Lepisosteus oculatus: one gene and its partner. The protein of the gene in region 2 purifies or fractionates together with the protein of the main gene of each other region. This does not show direct contact. Links are inferred from orthologs where the notes say so. Each region holds a gene or a part of one and is shown on either strand. Other genes may lie near its edges. The genes, in order: gart and inositol polyphosphate 5-phosphatase K.

The links.
Region 1: the proteins of inositol polyphosphate 5-phosphatase K (region 2) and gart purify together in Homo sapiens (co-immunoprecipitation; 3 studies listed by BioGRID and IntAct, counting the BioPlex papers as one, with this or other methods). This does not show direct contact. The link is inferred for Lepisosteus oculatus from reciprocal best matches to the Homo sapiens genes INPP5K and GART.

The regions. Positions count from the first base shown.
Region 1 is NC_090708.1:27,019,952-27,029,316, forward strand, and holds the start of gart (trifunctional purine biosynthetic protein adenosine-3), read right to left. Parts: upstream 3,699-9,365; 5' UTR 3,552-3,698; coding exon 3,376-3,551; intron 2,357-3,375; exon of another isoform or gene 2,224-2,356; intron 2,181-2,223; exon of another isoform or gene 2,085-2,180; intron 1-2,084. Other genes in the region: uncharacterized protein, read right to left, coding at 5,104-5,288, 5,631-5,783, 6,762-7,028, 8,385-8,643. UniProt on the Homo sapiens protein: Trifunctional enzyme that catalyzes three distinct reactions as part of the 'de novo' inosine monophosphate biosynthetic pathway.
Region 2 is NC_090721.1:246,462-256,296, forward strand, and holds the start of inositol polyphosphate 5-phosphatase K, read right to left. Parts: upstream 4,201-9,835; 5' UTR 3,399-4,200; coding exon 3,166-3,398; intron 2,694-3,165; coding exon 2,589-2,693; intron 1,668-2,588; coding exon 1,559-1,667; intron 31-1,558; coding exon 1-30. UniProt on the Homo sapiens protein: Inositol 5-phosphatase which acts on inositol 1,4,5-trisphosphate, inositol 1,3,4,5-tetrakisphosphate, phosphatidylinositol 4,5-bisphosphate and phosphatidylinositol 3,4,5-trisphosphate.

The DNA of each region.
Region 1 (9,365 bases), on a different chromosome or scaffold from region 2:
ATAGTTTCCACTTGCGTTCTCTGGTTCCTGTTTCATTGCTCAAACCCAATGCACTGACTTTGTCAATGCTTTGGAGGATTTTTAATACTCAGGACACCTTGTCATCTTGCCTATTCAAGACGAAAAAAGTTTGGTTTGTCAATAAAGAAGATTCACTGAACTTGTAGCTTACTAGCCCAATCAGCCATTCCACTGACAGGTAGGCAGACACTCCAGAGAAACTATATAGATTTACTGCCCCCACCACTCCAAAAATTATTCATACTTTATTCATAAACTATTAATCAACACAGGGCATTCTGGTGCGTTTAATTTTCTAACCAGGCAACTTAACTGCATGCAGGACTGACCTATAGAAAACATCAAACACAGCATATAACATTTTTAAAATGTCAGTTCTGAATTACAGCCTAACCGTGACCTTTCAGACAGAAGCAAATCACTGACATCTCCCGTTAATAAGCATCACTCACGTGGGACTAGTCTCCCATTAAAAACACTTTTGTCCTTAAATCTTTCAGCAGTGTAAAAGGACACCAGTGTATAACTGCCACACTCATGGGCCCTTTTCATATAGATGCTAAATATCAAACAGGAAACACGTGATAATTCCTCTAGGATATTATCTTTGGGAGCCAAACTGGACAGATTACATTACACAGAGCTCATCAATGCTATAGGCATATATCTAAGTAGCTTGTTCCAGTCTCCATCAACCCTTTGTGTTAATAGTTTTATTTTGCACTGAAGATGCAGCATTCTGATCATCCTGAAGACTATTAAACAAGTTCTACAACTGGTGCCAAAGCACGGATGAAATCTAATTGGGGAAATGAAAATATACTCATAGGCACAGGCTTAAATGAGAACTGCTTCCCAATTTCTCAGACCCGGTATTCTAGTCTAGAAGGTATTGCAAAATGTACACATTTCTAATTAAATGCAAAATTGTGAATTTCATATACGTACTGTACAGCTGCAATGTAGTCACTGACAAATTAGAAACTGCTGGTCTTGCCACAGGCAAGAGCGAGTATTTGCGCAAATTCTGATGTAAAAGCGGCCCTTCCTGCTCACTAGTCGCAGCAAGTCAATGAGAAACAGTCTCCTAACAATATTAATTCCTTTCTTCTCTTTTTTATGTTGTATATATTTTAAACAATACTTCACTGTCGAGCATTTGAGACATTTTAGTGGTCGGATAAAACTGAGGACTGGATCAGCAGAAAGTTCAACAGTTTTCTTTTCCAAGGGATCGTCAACTAGCCAAGAGATGGGTAATAAACATGGACACTGATGTTGCCCATCGACAAGTTTCTTGGCGAGATTCAGCATGAGGTACAATCGAATAAGTACGGGTTGTGCAGCAGAAACTTCACCCCAGAAATGTTCAAAAGTCATCTGCATGCTGAGTTAAGTAGTATTTGCCGACAAAACCATCTCTAAGTCAATATGTTGAACACAATTCAATTGCACTTAAATCAGCTGTTCAGACGACAGCACGGTCTATGGTGCAACAAGTTCTCCAACAATACAAGTCCTGCTATGATTTTTTTTCTTATAGGTGTGATACATCATAAAATAACCACCAAAGTAAATGACAGAGCACTTTTGCAAAACTTGAAAACAAATGTCTATTTTAGCTGGTTTGCAGGTTGGTCTTTTTTGCAATACTTAAAAAGTATCTAAAAAACAAGTTGGCTTCTATGTGTCGGTTTCATTAAACAATTTTAAAATAAATAAAGTTGCACAATTTGCTTGATCTAAAGGTAACAGGACTGCTCTCGCATCACTGGAAGATTTGTTGCTTCGTTCTGAATCACAGACAATGACGTCTTTAAAGGAGCTACGCACACATTGAAATGGCCTCTTTTGTGATGTAAATTGGAGGTTGTACACATTATCTTGCACTTGGTAATTTCATTGTGGTTGGAAATGCACTCATCATTGCCAATTCATTATAAACCCCAAATGTAAAAATAGGGTTGCAGTTCCCCTTAAATGTCAATCCAATGCTAGAATGCTGCAAACATCTTCTAGTCAATCCTGTATTCCTAGCTCTACACACTGAGGTTTGCAGTTACCGTATCTGGATTACTGCAGGAAAGGCTCTTCAAACTTGTCTTGGTTCTAAATGACACCTTCTGCAGTCGTGATTCACTTGCAATCCACAGGGAGCTGTCAGGCAGGGGATGAATGAGGAATCGGGAATCAGGAACTAACCCAGGATGAACTTCTGGCTAGAAGAAGGGGCTGATCCGCACACCTAATATTTATTGCATTGTCCTATCTCACCGACTCCGATTCTGGGACATCATTCAAGTTTCCAGGACACTCACCAGGGATAATCAGTTTCCTAAAAAAGAACGGGTGGTAAATCGTGTCCTTATAAAACCTGGGAATATTTCTTAACCAGTTTGACAGTTCTGTATGTAAACAATACAACACACGTCAGTTTTTAAGCCCGTAGCTGGTTGGAGAGAGATTTTTGTTTTAAAACTTGCATGTCCCACTAAGAATTCATCTAAATCTCACCAATAATGCTGGCAACTAGAGACATGAATTTAGACGGGCAACTTAGATTCCCGTATGAATACAGTGAATACAAATAATCACTGAAAGAAGAGGTTAAGGTCTACCTCTGACCTACACTCATGCGGTTATCACTACTGATTTGGGTAATTGGAATTTGTCAATGCGATTGTGCAATTTTTAAACTCGTCCACCCTTCTTACAATCTCTTTTTACAGACCTAACATCAACACATCTCTCAAGCCTAGACAGGGGGGCGCGATTTTACTGTTGGAATGTAGCGTTTTAACTCGCTGTGCATGACTTCTCATTACAGTAATTGCAAAATTCGTCGGCTCATATGCGCCTCACGAGGTCAGAGAAGACGAAATGTCATTTCAGTAAAAGAAAAAATATATATGCAAATAATCTTTCCCTAGACAGTCAAATCACTCATAAACACACATTTTTACTCTTGTGTTCCAAGAGTTGCAGGTTTTAATCCAAAGTAAAAAGATATGATTACCGGGGTTCTTCCTATATTTCTGAAGCAATTTACCTGTCCAAGAAGACATTGATCGTGTCTATCATGCATTTTGATGTACTTTTAATTAACTGACCCATGCATATATTTAAATGAGCTCTAGGCGGCTCATTTAAATTGTTTCTTTCTTGGGCAATTTTACAAATTGCAAATTATGAGTCGTATATAAATACATTATAAAGTTTAACATTCATATTAAACTCGAGTCATGGAGTTGAGAACGCACACGTTTAACAAAGCGGGAAACAATCGTGTCCAAAGTAAACTCAAAGTAATACTATTCTCTCAAAACCACACGTGCAAACCCCAAAAGTTATTACCTGAAAGTTAGGGGACGCGCCTGAGGCTTTGTGAATGTAGCGGCCAGCAGTGCTTTCCGGAACGTTGGTGGGATAACACTTCGTATGCAGGGAGTCCCAAATGTTGCAGCGTCTTCCTGCACAGATACGGAACTGAAGCACACAGCAAACGCCTCGTGCTGCGAGTTTGAACACATGGGGAGGGGGCGGTGAACTATCGAAATAAACCTATGACATCATTATCTAAATCCAACACAATGCACTCGTGTACTTCTAACTAATCGTGCGATCTCCCTAGTTTTGTGTCGCAAAAAACGAATAAGTTTGGATCACGTCTTTTCTCCAACACAGCATGCTTACAGAGCATCATGGGGGATGTAGTTTCCCAAACCACGTGTTGTATTTCCTTTTCTAGCGCCAGATCTGGTCAAATCAAAGCAAAACCTGTATAGCACCTTATTAATAATAATAATAATAATAATAATAATAATTGCTTACACTTATATAGCACTTTTCTGGACGCTCCACTCAAAGTGGTTTACAGGTAATGGGGACTCCCCTCCACCACCACCAATGTGCAGCATCCACCTGGATGATGCAACGGCAGCCATAGTGCGCCAGAATGCTCACCACACATCAGCTATCAGTGGGGAGGAGAGCAGAGTAATGTAGCAAATTCATAGAGGGGGATTATTAGGAGGCCATGATTGATAAGGGCCAATGGGAAATTTGGCCAGGACGCCGGGGTTACACCCCTACTCTTTTCGAGAAACACCCTGGGATTTTTAATGACCACAGAGAGTCAGGACCTCGGTTTTATGTCTCATCTGAAGGACGGCGCCTGTTTACAGTATAGTGTCCCTGTCACTATACTAGGGCATTCAGACCCACACAGACCACAGGGTGAGCGCCACCTGCTGGCCCCACTAACACCTCTTCCAGCAGCAACCTTGGTTTTTCCCAGGAGGTCTCCCATCCAGGTACTGACCAGACTCACACCATCTTAGTTTCAGGGGGTTGCCAGTTGTGAGTTGCAGGGTGATATTTAACCTTAATTCAACAGATCTCTGCAAAATGTGGTATTTACAAATTTGAGAATAACCTTCATGATTTTTTTTTATAAGTCAACCTTTTCTCATTAACTTTCATTTTAACACTATTGTCATATTTAATTTGTAGTATTTTGTATTTCTATCAAGATTTCAATTATGATTTTTGTAAATCTTATTGACATTTTCTTTCATTGTATTCAGAGAACTTTAGGATTGCTTTGGCATGAAAGGCACTATACAAATAAAGAAATAAAGATGACAGTGTTTCAAGTCTTTTCATTTAATCTATTCACAATCTGTATCTGAGATTAAGAGAAATCAAACCAGAGGAAGTATGGGAGTGAAGCATAATTAAGCCTTATTGCACGTTATTTAAGATGGTCAAGAGTTGGGATGGAGAGCTCCAGTAATACAATCTGATCAGGGTGAAAGGAGGCTGTGTGAGAAGCGAGGAAGTCTGGTATCACATTTTTCAGTTTGAGTCTTCTGCGGGGTAACTCTCTAAGAACAGACAAGCATCCCCCTGCCCATTGATCCCCGGTGCTTCATCAACTCATAACAGGTGATCAAGGGCGTGTTCTGGTTTTCCAGCACATTAATCAATTAAAATCAAGTACAGTCTTCTGCCTGCATGCTCCTTCCTCTCCATGGCTCATGAGAAGCAGTACAGAGGTTGCAGAGGGGTTCAGTGTAGCCTCTAAGCGCAGACTCTGAGGGTGTCCGAATGCAGCAGGGGCAGATCGGGGGCGAGGAGAAGCTCCTGTCCAAGGGCGGTGTCTTTCAGGGCAAACAGAGTGACTCCTGACTTGTATGCTGCTGGGATCACAATGTGCGTCATTCTGGGGTCATTCTCTTCCTCACGCACCATCTGCCTTACCTGGCCTGCCACAGGACACAGTATATTGTGATACACAATACTAGTAATCGTCATCATCATCATCAAGTGCAAGCTTCACAACATGAAAAACACTACCTATGAATTGAACTTCACGGCAGAAGTGATAAATTTAGTTTCTATTAAAAAATGTAAAAATTAAATTAGTAATTTAATTAAATTAAGAAAAGTACAAAAGCATTATAAAACTGGCAAGGCAGCTTTGAAGAAGGGCCTAGGGCAGTAACTAATAATGCTCCTGGAGGCCAAAACAGAAAAAACATAGAGATGAAGTTTGAAAGAGACTGACAAATGGAGAAGCTAACAGTCAGGCCCTGGGCTCTTCTCACCTGCCACGTCTAGAATGTCCCAGCAGGGGTCAGTGTGTCCCTGAGGCAATACCGAGACCGGTGTATCAGCTGTCAGCCTCTGCAGGACATCCTCTCTCCTCACCAACAGCACCGAATCACTGCACAGACGCTGCTGCACCACCTGAGCGCTCACTGGAAATACACACACTGATCACAGAGAGTTTCACTGGAAATACACACACTGATCACAGAGAGGCTCACTGGAAATACACACCGATCACAGATCAGGTTTACTGGAAATACACACACTGATCACAGAGAATCTCACTGGAAATACACACACTGATCACAGAGAGGCTCACTGGAAATACACACACTGATCACAGAGAGGCTCACTAGAAATACAAACACTGATCACAGAGAGTCTCCCTGGAAATACAAACTGATCACAGATCAGGCTCACTGGTCATACACATGCTGATCACAGAGAGTCTCCCTGGAAATACACACACTGATCACAGAGAGTCTCACTGGAAATACACACACTGATCACAGAGAGTCTCACTGGAAATACACACACTGATCAGAGAGAGGCTCACTGGAAATACACACACTGATCACAGAGTCTCTCTGGAAATACACACACTGATCACAGAGAGGCTCCCTGGAAATACACACTGATCACAGATCAGGCTCACTGGACATACACATGCTGATCACAGAGAGTCTCCCTGGAAATACACACACTGATCACAGAGTCTCACTGGAAATACACACACTGATCAGAGAGAGGCTCCCTGGAAATACACACACTGATCACAGAGTCTCACTGGAAATACACACACTGATCAGAGAGAGGCTCCCTGGAAATACACACACTGATCACAGAGAGGCTCACTGGAAATACACACACTGATCATAGAAAGTTTCAATGCATACAGTAATTGATATTTAATTGAAAAGGGTCTCATTGCAAGCACACACTGATCAGAGAGGGTCTCTCTGCACACACATAATGACTCAGTGCTGAGTCAAACACTGCATTCAAACACTGACTGAACATGATTTCAACCTTAAATCCTTTACAGAACAAACAGAGAGAACTAAAGAAGAAAAACAGTTGTGTCTCAGGGACAGGCCAGTCGGTTCCCACCACTGCAGCTCACTCACCCACATCCAGGGGGTTTGTCATGTAAACGGCACTGGGTGTGACGCCAAAGATGAGTTGGTGGTGCCAGGCATCAGGCACCTCCTCACCCTCGGGCACTGCCAGCTGCATGTTCATGGTGGCAACAGGAACAGCACCCTTCCGGATCCATGAGGCCAGCCAGGGTACCAGAGCCAGCTGCCGGGATGGGTGGAGTGGGAAAAACCGGCCCAGCACCCGTCCACCACTTGCCCTCTCCGCACCCTCCACCAGCTGCTGGTGTGTGGCCCCTGGAAAAACACACACTGATCACAAAGGGTCTCACTGGAAATACACACACTGATCACAGAGAGTCTCACTGGAAATACACACACTGATCACAGAGAGTCTCACAGGGAATACACACACTGATCACAGAGAGTCTCACAGGGAATACACAAACTGGTCACAGAGAGTCTCGCTGGAAATACACACATTGATCACAGGGAGTCTCGCTAGAAATATACAAACTGGGACAGCAGAAAGACATACACAAGCCCTCAGCCCTCAACCCTGAACAGCACAGCATGGACTTCAACACCACCAGACCCAGAGGATCGATACCAGTGGTTCCAACCACATCCTCAGTTACATTTATGGTCTAATTATTTTATTAGCTGCATAACTGGAATATAAGTCCAATTAAGCTCCAAGGTGGTTTATAGTTAACTGTACCTTAAATGCCTTGTGTAATCACCTGTAAAAGACCTTAAGAAAAATCCTATCTGTGTCTAATTTAGAAAACAATGAGGTTAATTGTCTAATTGAAGATTCAGGTCAGAACAAAGACTAAAAGACACAAGGCCTTTCAGCAACAGAGTCTGAGACTCCTGGTTTATAAGACTCTTTAAATCAGCAATATATTAAGACTTGAGGGAAGGCAATGATCACTTCCAGTCAGCTCTCGTAAACAATGAGCACAGGGTAAATGAACACTGACAATCGTTTGCCTGCGAAGGTGCAGCTGTCCCTACTCTGCACTGGTACACTAGGACTGTGCCCAACACCTCCAAATGCAGCTCCTGTCTCTGGGACCTCGCAGTGTCCAGGCTCACTGTCGCTCAGTGCTCAACGTTCCACACTCTGCTGCTGACAGACTGAAGGCACAGATCACAGACCACTGGGAGGCGCTGTCCCACACACAAGGACACGGCATCACACTCAACTTGGGGCTTTATTAAGATTTTTACACTTTTTTGTCAGTTGAATTCAGTTGAGGCTGTTGCTTCAGGATGGTTTCCACAAAACTGAATATGAAGCTGGACAAGAGTAATAAATCCCCCCACGTAATTAGACTCGTTAATGAATTAACTGAGAGCCTGGATTGGGAGCCTGAAAGACTGCAGGCACTGTGGCTGACACCCCTTGCTCTTAAGAATGTATGTTCTAATGCGAACGTGTTCTGGCAGAGAACACGTAATAAGAACATGTGCGACCTGTTCATGAGAACGTGAGAGCAAAACAATCGCGTCTGGGTCAGCTTCTTTCACAATGCCCGTATTGAGTTAGTATTTTGACTAACGCCTAGAGGCCACTTTAAACATGATTTCTCCTCCTCCGTGGACCTTATCCGCTGTCAGTACTGGAACAAAAAGGAAAGCTCGTACCAGCCTGGCTCCGGGAGAGCAGATACTCCGGGAGAGGGGCCTCGTTTTGACGCAGGCGTGTCTGGACGCAGCGGTCCGCGTCCTCGGCCGTCACGCTGATCCCCAGGACCTGCAGCACGTCCACTACAGCAGTAGCCCCACATGCCGACGCCCCGATCTGGAGGGTCTGCCGCTGCACGGCCTCGTCTATCGTCCACAGCATCGCGGCAGCTCCCTCCTCCCCCTCACTGTTGTATCCATTTCCCCCGTCCAACTCCATCCCCCCGGGGCTATGAAGTCCAAGACCAGACAGCCAGCCCAAGCGTGGGACTAGAGCCCGGCACTGCAGAAACAGACACAGTGGTTCATGTGTTAACACCAACAAGAGGTAACATGAAGATTCAGTTTCTAGTTGTCAGAAAAATCTCTGTATGCTGATTTGGGTGGTCTGTAAAAACGGGAGTAAACCGATCTTCATATAAAATAAATATTCTTTAATATAATAACAATCAAAGATGTTGCCGCTTCAAGAAGCGTTTGAAATCACAAACCAGACGAGAAAATGTTATTTTTATATTCATTTATTATGTTCAATAGATGTACTGAAACCCAGTTCATTTAGTTATCGTAAAACACAAATGTTAAAGAGTTACGAGGCTTCGAAAATAGTATCCCTGAGTAACTTCTAACACTCGTTCAACCAAACGTGTTCATCGGTTTCGTGGCCTATCGATAATGTGTTTTTTTTTATTTCTGAAGTAAATCAGGATCAATAGAAGTTCACCTCTTTCTGCAGATCATTTCAGATCCATTACAGTCCAAACAGCAAACCTGAACCGTTCTTCTGCTATTTTTAACACACAGCTGCGCTTCCTGTATATTATTCATGATTCGCTCTCATTGGACAGGGTCTCCGTCTCTTGTCACTAGTCTCTAAACTAGGCATCACGTGAGAGGAAGGGCCTTGAGTTCGAGAGTCTGGAGGAAGAGGGGGTGGTCGGC
Region 2 (9,835 bases):
CAGGAGTCCCTGCATGCGGATGGATATCAGCTGCATGAGAAGGGACAGACAGGGTTGGGGGACAATGAGCTTGCCTCCATTCTGAAATCAAAGCTATTAATCAAAAAGTGAGGTGAAGAGAAAATATTTATTTTCAAGACAAATGTATGTGAAGTTATGGGCTCAACATGAAACAGCTAAGCGAACAACTGGCCATTGGCCATTCATTGAGTCACAGCACAACATGGCCACTTGGTCACGAAAGATTCCAAGGCACTGCTCACACAAACAGGAGTATGCACCCCGGTGATCTGGCTAAATGTCACTGTGCTCAAACAGTCTGGCCTCCCTAAAGTTCCCCCTGGTGCAGCAGTTCCTCACTCCTAGCCTGGATCTGCTCCTGCAGAGCAGATGCTGAGCATCACCCACGATGGAGGAGGAAATGGGTCTCCTTTAGTATGAAAGGGGATAAATATGTGTGAAAATCGATTATTATAAATTGGCTTTATCACTGGTTCCCAACTAATGGCCTGAACATTTCTGTTATGAGACAGCATGTGCTCTGCTTCTCACTAACTGCTTTGCAGATTCTAAGCTGTCCAGAAATAAAGCAAGCAAACGGGTCTAGAGTGGACATTGAAAGGAAGTGGTCCCTTTGGAGAAAAGTCTGTTCTTAATGACAGACGAATCTCCTGGGCACCTGTCAGCTGTTCAGGTCCCATTCTGGGTACTGGTAGTGTACAGCGCTTCAGCACTTTAGGGTTGACAGGTTCATTCAGAAGACAGGAGAATGAGAGAGATCATACAGGCAAAAGAGCAACTCCATGTGCTGCCAGTATGAACTGCAGGGAACTCTAGTGTGAACTACGTTAGCTAGTATTATCCCACTGTTCCTTTCAAGCAAACAGAGGTTTCCAGATAACAGAGGACACTACAAAGACATACATGTTCAGACACTCTGAGAATAAAAAGTTTAATAAAAAATGAAGGCTTAACAATATTAATTGGTTTGGACCACAAATGAGACTCTGTTTGATAAACAAACCATGCCCTCTCACTGTATTAACAGCCCCCTAATGAGGTGGATGACAATGCCTTCCATTGTTCAGGAAGGCCAAGTCAGCAGCGAGAGATACAGCACACACATGTCTCTGAAAGACACTGAAGCTGCTGGGATGGCAGCCTGGCCCAGTACTGCAATGAAAAGGTCCTGCATCAAGACCATTAGTTTCAGCCTTGACTGGAGATACAGCTTCAACTACAATTCTTTAAAGATGGTAGCACCTCTTTTAACCAGCTCTTAGTTTGCCACAAGCCTACAGCAGTGTCAGTGTTCAGGAATTTTATGTATTTGCATTTTGAAAAAGAAACAAAGTCTTCATGTGTGAGAGGAGAAGACCGCTTTGTTACAGCATCATAGCTTTCCCTAACTTGCAGGCACAGATGGTGCTACACAGAGAACTGGCATGGAATTCATTTTTACTTTCTTCATCAGTTTTTTACGCTCATGTTTGAAGCTCTAGAACTCTAGAAGGTGTGAACTGAGACGGACGCTGCAGAGAAGAGTAAAAGGCCGAACCTTCACATATCCCAGCGGGGCCAGCGTGTCCATCAGGAGGCGACTCCAGGGGTCCTCAAACGTCATGTCATTAATAAAATTCAGAAGCCTGGAGTTGACTTCCTGCAGCCTGCAGAGAAAACACAGAACAGCTGCCAAAGGCACCAGCGATACCAGCCTATGCCACCCGCATCCAGCATGCCGGAGTGCAGCTCTAGGCGGGCACTCTGCACTGGCAGCTCCTGAATGGGTGCACACGCCTTTCAGGGCTTCTTTATTTTCCTCTTCGAACATGACTGAACATGTCAGATGTCAACTGACACACCAGGGACCTGTGTGAGGACTTTGTTGCCTTCTGAGCAGTGATCAGAGGTATTATTCTCTTCTCGGGCATCAGCAGCTGTGGTTGAGGTAAGAGTACAGTACTGCATGTCTCGGGCTGAATATGTTAGAAACATATGCCTAATTCTTAGTAAGAAAGGATTTTCTGCAACATACATGTCTGCTCTGTCTATTTTGTTTTAGTCTTTAACTGGGACTTAATTTTTATTCTGTGACTTAAAGTTCTTATTGTTAGCTATGACTGTACTGTGATACTGGCAAAACTGATGCCCTTATAGCTGGTGTTAAAAAAAGTCAAACGGTAACATAAAATGATACATAAAGTAGAGGCTCATGTCACTCTGAAACAGAGCTTTAAAATAGTTATTACAGAGAATAAATTGTGTGAATTTCAAGGTAGGATGTTGCATGTTTTGATGTTAATGGAGTCTCTATGTGGCATTTAATTTTGCTTTGTACAACAAGCTGTTTTACTGTTGTTTGAAGTAGGACCATTTGTCACACACAACAGTCCTGTAAGCAGGGTGCTGACAATACCATGGAGCAGATCTCAAGAGAAAGTGGTCTTAAAGGAATGGCAGAAACTGAATAAGCAATACTCCTTTAAAAGGAGAACAGATTTTGTAATTGCAGTAGAAAGTGATGAAATAGAAATGTAGATGGGAAGAAGCCTCTTGCAGGATGTCCCACCTGCTGGACACTCACTCACCCAATCACAAACAAGTCAGCAGGTTTCTCAGAGTCCAGCTCCAGCAGGGAGCTGACATCGCTGGGGGGGGCAGCAGTCCCCACATTCCAGGTGACCATGTGCAACCTGAGAGAGAGGAGCAGAACCACAGCACCGCTGGTACATAAAGAAGGACACATTCCAGACATGGACAACTTGCATTGCATTGGTTCAGAGGAACATCGCTGCACTGCGTCTCCAAAGGCTATAAATAGCATCTCAGAAATTTTACAAAAACATCCAACAAGAGTCCAGCTGGAAACCACATTACTCCATCCCCTCCTCACTATGAAAAATCTCAGTGATGTGCCTGTAAATTTATGATACGTATGACTGAGACATTTGACTAGAGACTTTCCCATTTTGTTTTTTAGTATGTCTGCACCTCTCGCATCACATCAGTTAAAGCATTCTGAGTACTGAAGTGGAGGAGGAATTTGTGCTCATTGCCCTGGTTGTCCTTCCCTGGACTATCGGAAATACATGTGAATTTCTGGAGCTTTAAACCACTCTCTCTCCCCCCAGGACGCCAGGGAGCAGATGGTAACAGCCAAGGCACCTGAAGCGCTCCTCCTCGCGGGCGCCCCGCTTCCCGCAGAGCAGGAAAGCCTCATTCAGGGTGCGAGACACCTCCTCCTGCAGCTCCTCGTCAGAGCTCAGGTCCTCCACGCAGGTCATGAGCTGCACCACGCGCTGGCGCAGGAGCAGCCTCCCGCTGGTGGACACCGAGGCTGTGCTGGCCATGCTGTCGGAGCGGGCACGCAGCCCCGGGAGCCCCTCCGCATCCTCCATCCGCTGGCAGGCTGGGTCGGTCAGGGCGAGCTGGCAGTGAAGCTCCACACGCAATCACACACTGCCTCCCGGCACTTCTGCTCAGACTAGCCGATTGCGGCAGCAAGCCAGTAGCAATGCAAAACAAGCCGATCGATGAAAATTAAGATGATTCAATTACTGGTACAAGTGTTCAGTGAAAAGTTCTTAAAAATATATGAATGAGCTACAATCAATGGTTCCAGTATGAATCAGCAACTGCAATTCAAACAACAGTTTCTTGTTCTCTTTCTTGAACTTCTTTTGCATCCAGAATAAAATCCTTTCCAAAGTTCTTTGGTCAAAAGGTAATTTCTTGCAGTTTACAAAGCTGTAGTCGGACGTTTCAGAGCAGGTGAACAAGTCCTCCTTCTTTCAGCACGGGAGGAGCTCCAGCACCAGGACTGGCAGGCCCAGCAAGACCACCAAAAAGACAGAAGGAAAAACACCAAAAGACCAACTTCCTAATGAAGTAACAAGTCCACTTCTCCTTTAGGTCCAATTGTGCTCCTCAAATGAATTGGTGAAAACAACAATAAAACTTAAAAGGATGTTCTGCCTCTCAAGTGGAGGATTATTTAAATCTCCAGGAACCCACGTGACAGAGAGGCCTTGGTGACCAGAGGCTTGCGAATGCGTCTGTGCTGGGCACTGGCTGATTCCAGCATCACTGGCCCATTGTTAGGAGACATTTGAGCTCTAATCCGGTTAATATTCCAGTGAGGCAAATAATGATTTGTCTTGTGCGTAAGAGTTGGACTCTATAACACCAACAGTCTTGCTCTCCAAGCCAAATCACGACAAAAGGGGGTCTATCCCCCTCTAGCCCCAGTCTAGCCCCAATCCCCCACCTAGCCTCTTAACATGCTATTGGTCCACTGTGGTGGTCAGGCCACAAAATACATTAAAATTAAGTCAGCAGGTTAAAAAGGGCATTGGCAAAGTAAATAACTGTCTGAATTACATTTGATACCTTTGGCTTATTTTCAATGTCACTGAAGAGTTATCAGAATAACTTTCGCCACAGCATCCATTGGCTTGCCCAGTACAGTATGGAATTGTTCAAAATTATACCAAACTGGGCAACCTTAATGTTTACTTTAATTCTTATTGGAAAATTAGATTCTCTTACAATAACTTTGCTTAAAATTGCATTTTAAAAGAAGGTAACTACATTACATTATTCAGAGAGTAGTATCTGTGTATGAATTAGATGTAGCATATGCGTCATGACTTAACAGACTATCCCCATTAACAGACCACCCTTCCCCCAACAGAATGTTAAATTTTGCTTTTACTGTATTAACAGGACTCATAGATGTCATTATGCCCTGATTTTAGGTACATAGGTGCAGAAAGAAGTGAAGCAAAAGATCAAGATGGCCCATTTATCCCATCATACTTGTTTTCTTTTGGTAGAATAAAGCTAAAAGATTGCTGGGACCAAGGCTGCACCAATCCAACACCTTTCCAGAGCTCTCAGACAGCCACAGGCCTGCGGTTCAGCTCCCTCCTCACCCCCCCGTCACCCCACTCCTTCCAGGACAGCTCTGGAGCTGAAGCACACAAAGAAGAAAATCCGCTTTCCCCTGTGACAGCAGAGCTCTGGTTCTTAATTGGCAGAACTCCTGGCTAATGAATTGAAACTGTGCTTGGAGTGCTCAGATGTCCAGAAAAAGACTGTTACACAAAACCCACAAATACCTCTTTCACAAGGACTTTAATCCCCTCAGTTCACTGGATAATTCTGTCACAAGGTGCTTCCAGCATTCCTGAACATATCACAACAGAGGCATTCTTCAGATCAGGGGGCCAGGAGCAGGGTGAGGGTCTGAGCTCCAGTTCAGACCATTTGAACTTGCATGATCTGTTCAGCTGGCCAAACTCCGTCTCCATTAGTCAGGACCAGTGGATGCAATAGTGACATTCTCAATCTTCTCAAATTGCTATAATTGAGAGCACTGCAAGCTGCATTCTGACATATGTATGTAGAAAGATACAAGGACAGCTCCCACTAGAAAAAGCCCAGCACATTTGCGAGATGAGGTGCAGATTTTGTGAATAATATAAAACGTAATTAAGTTAATATGAACAGTTACAAACAAGAGGAGGACACCCAGGTTATCTTGTCTCTTTGTTAGTCCCTAACTGAAGGATCAAGCTGTTTTCTAACAGAAGCCAGGGTATGGGCTTCAACAAGGCTGGGTAACATGTTCTACATTCCCACAACCCTCTGGCTGAAGACATACCTCCTGTCCTCAGTTTAAAATGTACTTCCTCGTAGTTTCTGCTTGTAGCCTCTGTATCTTCACGTAGGGTTTGCGTTTAATTGTTTATTCGGAAGAAATCTACTGGGCTGATGTTGTCAATGTCTTTGAGGATTTTGAACATTTGTATCAGGTCGGCTTATTGTCTTCTCTGTTCAAAACTGTAAAGATTTAGTTCCTTTGGCCTGTCAGTGTAGGAAATTTCTTTGTGATCTGGAATGTATCTGGTTGCTCTTTTCTGGACAGATTACACAGAAGCAACATCTTTTCTACAACATGGTGTACAAAACTGTACACAATTTTCTAAATGAAGCCATGCTAGTGCATTGAAGACGTTTAACATAACATCCCTTGATTTAAATTCTGCACTTTTAAATTTAAATATATATTCTTTCATACATATTTAGGATTTCCTTTTTATTCCTTCTCCTCATTGTCTAGAAGATATAAGCAGAACCTGCATCAACACACACATCTGTCGTTTACATCAGTAGCCTCTTCTATCTCAGTTTCCCATTTTGTATCTGCAAGTTATCTTCTTGCTGCCTACACTGCCAAACCCTGCCTACCTCTCCTATTGTCACTTGGATTCAACAAGGAGTGGCAACACTTGCCAACTTGGGTGGACTTAACTTGACCAGGACACCCTCATCTTGTCGTGCAAGAGTGGCCCCTGTGACTGGCCAGGGCCTGCGAGTGTCCAGTGTGGTCTCCGAGGAGCGCTCGCTCTGCTGTAGGCTCCACAGTTCGCGCTGCCTGACCAGGCAAAGGAGCAGAAACACGCGCTTTCACAGAGCACGCTATGAGCACCCTCACTCCTCTGATCTTGGACTGTATCGGTGAGTCAAACTGATTATTTCTGTGATCGGAAGTGCATAAACAGAAAATTATTGACAATTATAATTTTTTTATCAATTCAGGAACAGTCTCACAAAACATAATATATATTATATATAAATAATAACATATGGAAAAAATGGCAAAAAAGTTCTCTATTGGTCCAGCCTGAATAGTAGGACTGATCTTTCCCATTTTTTCTAATTTTTTCTTCTTTCTACAGCACCTACCAGTTACTAATCCCTAAACTCCGTATGTATGTGGTAAGAAGCTCTATATACAGTCCCGGGCGGCAATACCCTAACAACCCCAGAGCAATGAGCACCAGCTTCGCACCTTCAGAGCAAATGAAGAACTAAGAGCACAGACTGTGTTCTCCAGCAGTGAGGGATCAGGTATTTCCTCATGGCGACACATGGGTCCACACCTGACCAGCTCTGAGCACCAGAACCCTCTCACTTCCTGGAAGCAGGTTTCTTATGAGGTAACAAGTTACAAGAGGAAAGAGGTCTGCAGCTTCAACCATCCATGTCAATCTTCCTGTCGATGCCTTTTCCAAGGCAACAGCAATGGAACTAAAAACTCCCCACTGCTCTGGCAGCTCCCCAGGGAGACAGGGCCCTGAGCATAAGGGTCTCACAGGGGAAAGACCAGGTTTCTGCAGCCAGGTGTGAACCTGCCCTCAGGACGTGCTGAAGACACCTGGAGCATGAGGAAGGTCATCAATTGGCCATTTTACCCAAATAGTTCATGTGATTCATAGTAGATGTTCAAGCTGGGGATCTCATTCAGCTGTTTCAGACTCCCAAAGCCTTTTGTCTGATCAGATAACAACATTCAACATCTAAGGTTAAATAACCATAATTAGAATCATGTATCATGATCTACACATTGCAGAAACACTCAGCTCTCACACTGGCATCATTATCATCCTCACCCCTAAACGTACCTGAAAGTGTCCATCTTGGCTGCAGTCTTACTGCTGATCTTGGCCTGGAACAGAGAGTTCTGGGTCTCTGACGTAGGGCTTAAATGCATCCTTGAGCCTGTGAAGACACACACCACATCAGCTCACGGACGCAGCTTCATCATTCCCAGGGACCCTGCAGTCACACAGTCCAGTGCTCTGGGAGAAGCCTGAGAAATCAGTGCTGCATCATTTGCACTGCTGACAACTGAGGTGTGTGCAGATACCACGAAAGGGTCAGGCTCAATCTGATGTTTCTGTGCTGTGTCCTACAGCCCTAACTATTGTGAAATATTAATATTTTGAATGCAGTACTTCTCTGTATATTACAAAACACTATTTGAAAACAAATGATGGAACAGACAGCTAATTCATAAAAAAGATTAGCCACATCCTGGATTTTCTCTGTGTCTAATCGCCTTTTCTAATCCTTCTGATGTCTGCTTTTCACAGACCATCACATGCCTGGACCAGAACAATCTGATCAATATGCTGCATGTCTTTTTCAGAATCGCTTCCCCAGAATTCCTTCTTATACAGGGCTGACGGTAAAGGTCTGCGCTTTTACTGTGCTCGTGATACAGGCACTCTCACGTCGTCTCCCATTATTTATCGGGCGTCTCCATCTTCCAGGGCTGCTGTCAGAAAAGATTTTATATGTTCGTGATTTTTTCCGCTTCACTCCAATGCTGATATAGCTGTGCCATATCTATCTATGGAACCAGAACATTAATAGCACGCTGTTTAATCATTTTATAATATTTAGCGTTATAATTCAGCCCTTTAATATTTAAATCCAGAGACATCTTGAATGCCTGGTTTATGACAAGTGGAATTCTTTTTAAAACAATTTTTAATTAAAAACTGTTCAAGTACAGTTTTATTTAAAAAATCTTTTTTATCAGCCTATGACGTTCACAGTAGACATCTGTTAATCAAACAGCGCAGACCCACATCTGCGTGACACTGGAACACTGACAGGACGCGACACGACACGGAAAACACCTGTGGGTGCGAGTGGTCTACAGCATGAACAACGAGAGCATAATTATAGATCTTCGCGTTGTAGGAAACTTAAATCATCCTGATGCCACTCTCCATAAATACCGGACTTGCAATACACGAGCTGACACGTCTTACCGTCTTAAGAGTTCCAGTTTTAACATCAGTCAACTGGTAAAGTGCCAACAGCTTCAACATAGTAGCGTTCCTACTATAAGAGCATGTGTAAACACGCAGAGCACAATCACGCATCCCACGTTAGACGGCAAACGACCGTGTTTAACATCATTATTACTATCCACATTAACACTAAGCACTGCGCTGCTTCGCCTACGTACGTCACTGTGAGATACTGTTATTCCCATAGCTGAGTCAGGCTGAGCCAAATAAACGCGGAAAGAAAAGAATTTCATGCTGCCCGTTCACTCCACGATTTCCTTTATTTTAGAAATAATCTCATCTTTCAGACATTTACGACTTCTAGGCAGACGTCGCAAAATAAGTTTAAAGGCATCTCTGACAGCACAGATTAGCGCATCAGTTGACTAATCACGTATTTACAGCACCGCCCCTCCTCTCCGATCAAATAAAGGCTAAACGGATCCGCCAGAGAGGCATCAGTTTCCTTCTATATATTTTCCTGCTAATCTGAACATGGTCGATTCACAATGTTTCAATTACCATAAAAACAAAATATTAAGTCATACCGTGCGGTAATAATGAGCCAGCTACGCCAGTCACGCTGTCCGAAAAACAAACAGGTGCATCTGCTGTGCCTACTGAGTGACCGGGCGCTTGCAGACACAGCCGCTTGCTGCCAGCCCGAGTGCGGCATGAAGACGCTGGAGCTGGCTTCCTATTTGCGGTGCCGTTCACAATAAAAGTCCTCTAAAACACGCTAAAACTCCTGGACAGTGTAAAGTTGCATTTCTGGCAAAACAACAATTTGTGCATCCTCAGAACTGGGTGGAATGCGATACGAAGGCTCGCAGCTAATAGAAAATGACCGGTCTTCAGTCGTTTTTACCTCCTTGCTAATGTTTTTGTGTTTTTAGATCACTTCCTCTTGGCAAATTGGTACAGTGCTGGACAGGGGAAAGAGTCGCCTCTGACCAAACAAAACTGTGTACATCTCAAAACCCTTTTTATCGTATGGGGAAAAAAACAGTTTAAAGAGAATGACAATTTACAGGAGTATAAATGAAAGAATAGTTTGCTGGGTCAGCTTCAAAGGAACAGGTAAAGGTTTAGTCCATGCTGAGAGGAAAAGAAAAGAACATTTCGGCTGCAGAACCTTCTTCAGATTTGAGGGCGTAAATGAAACGAAACGTAGGCATCAGTAGAGG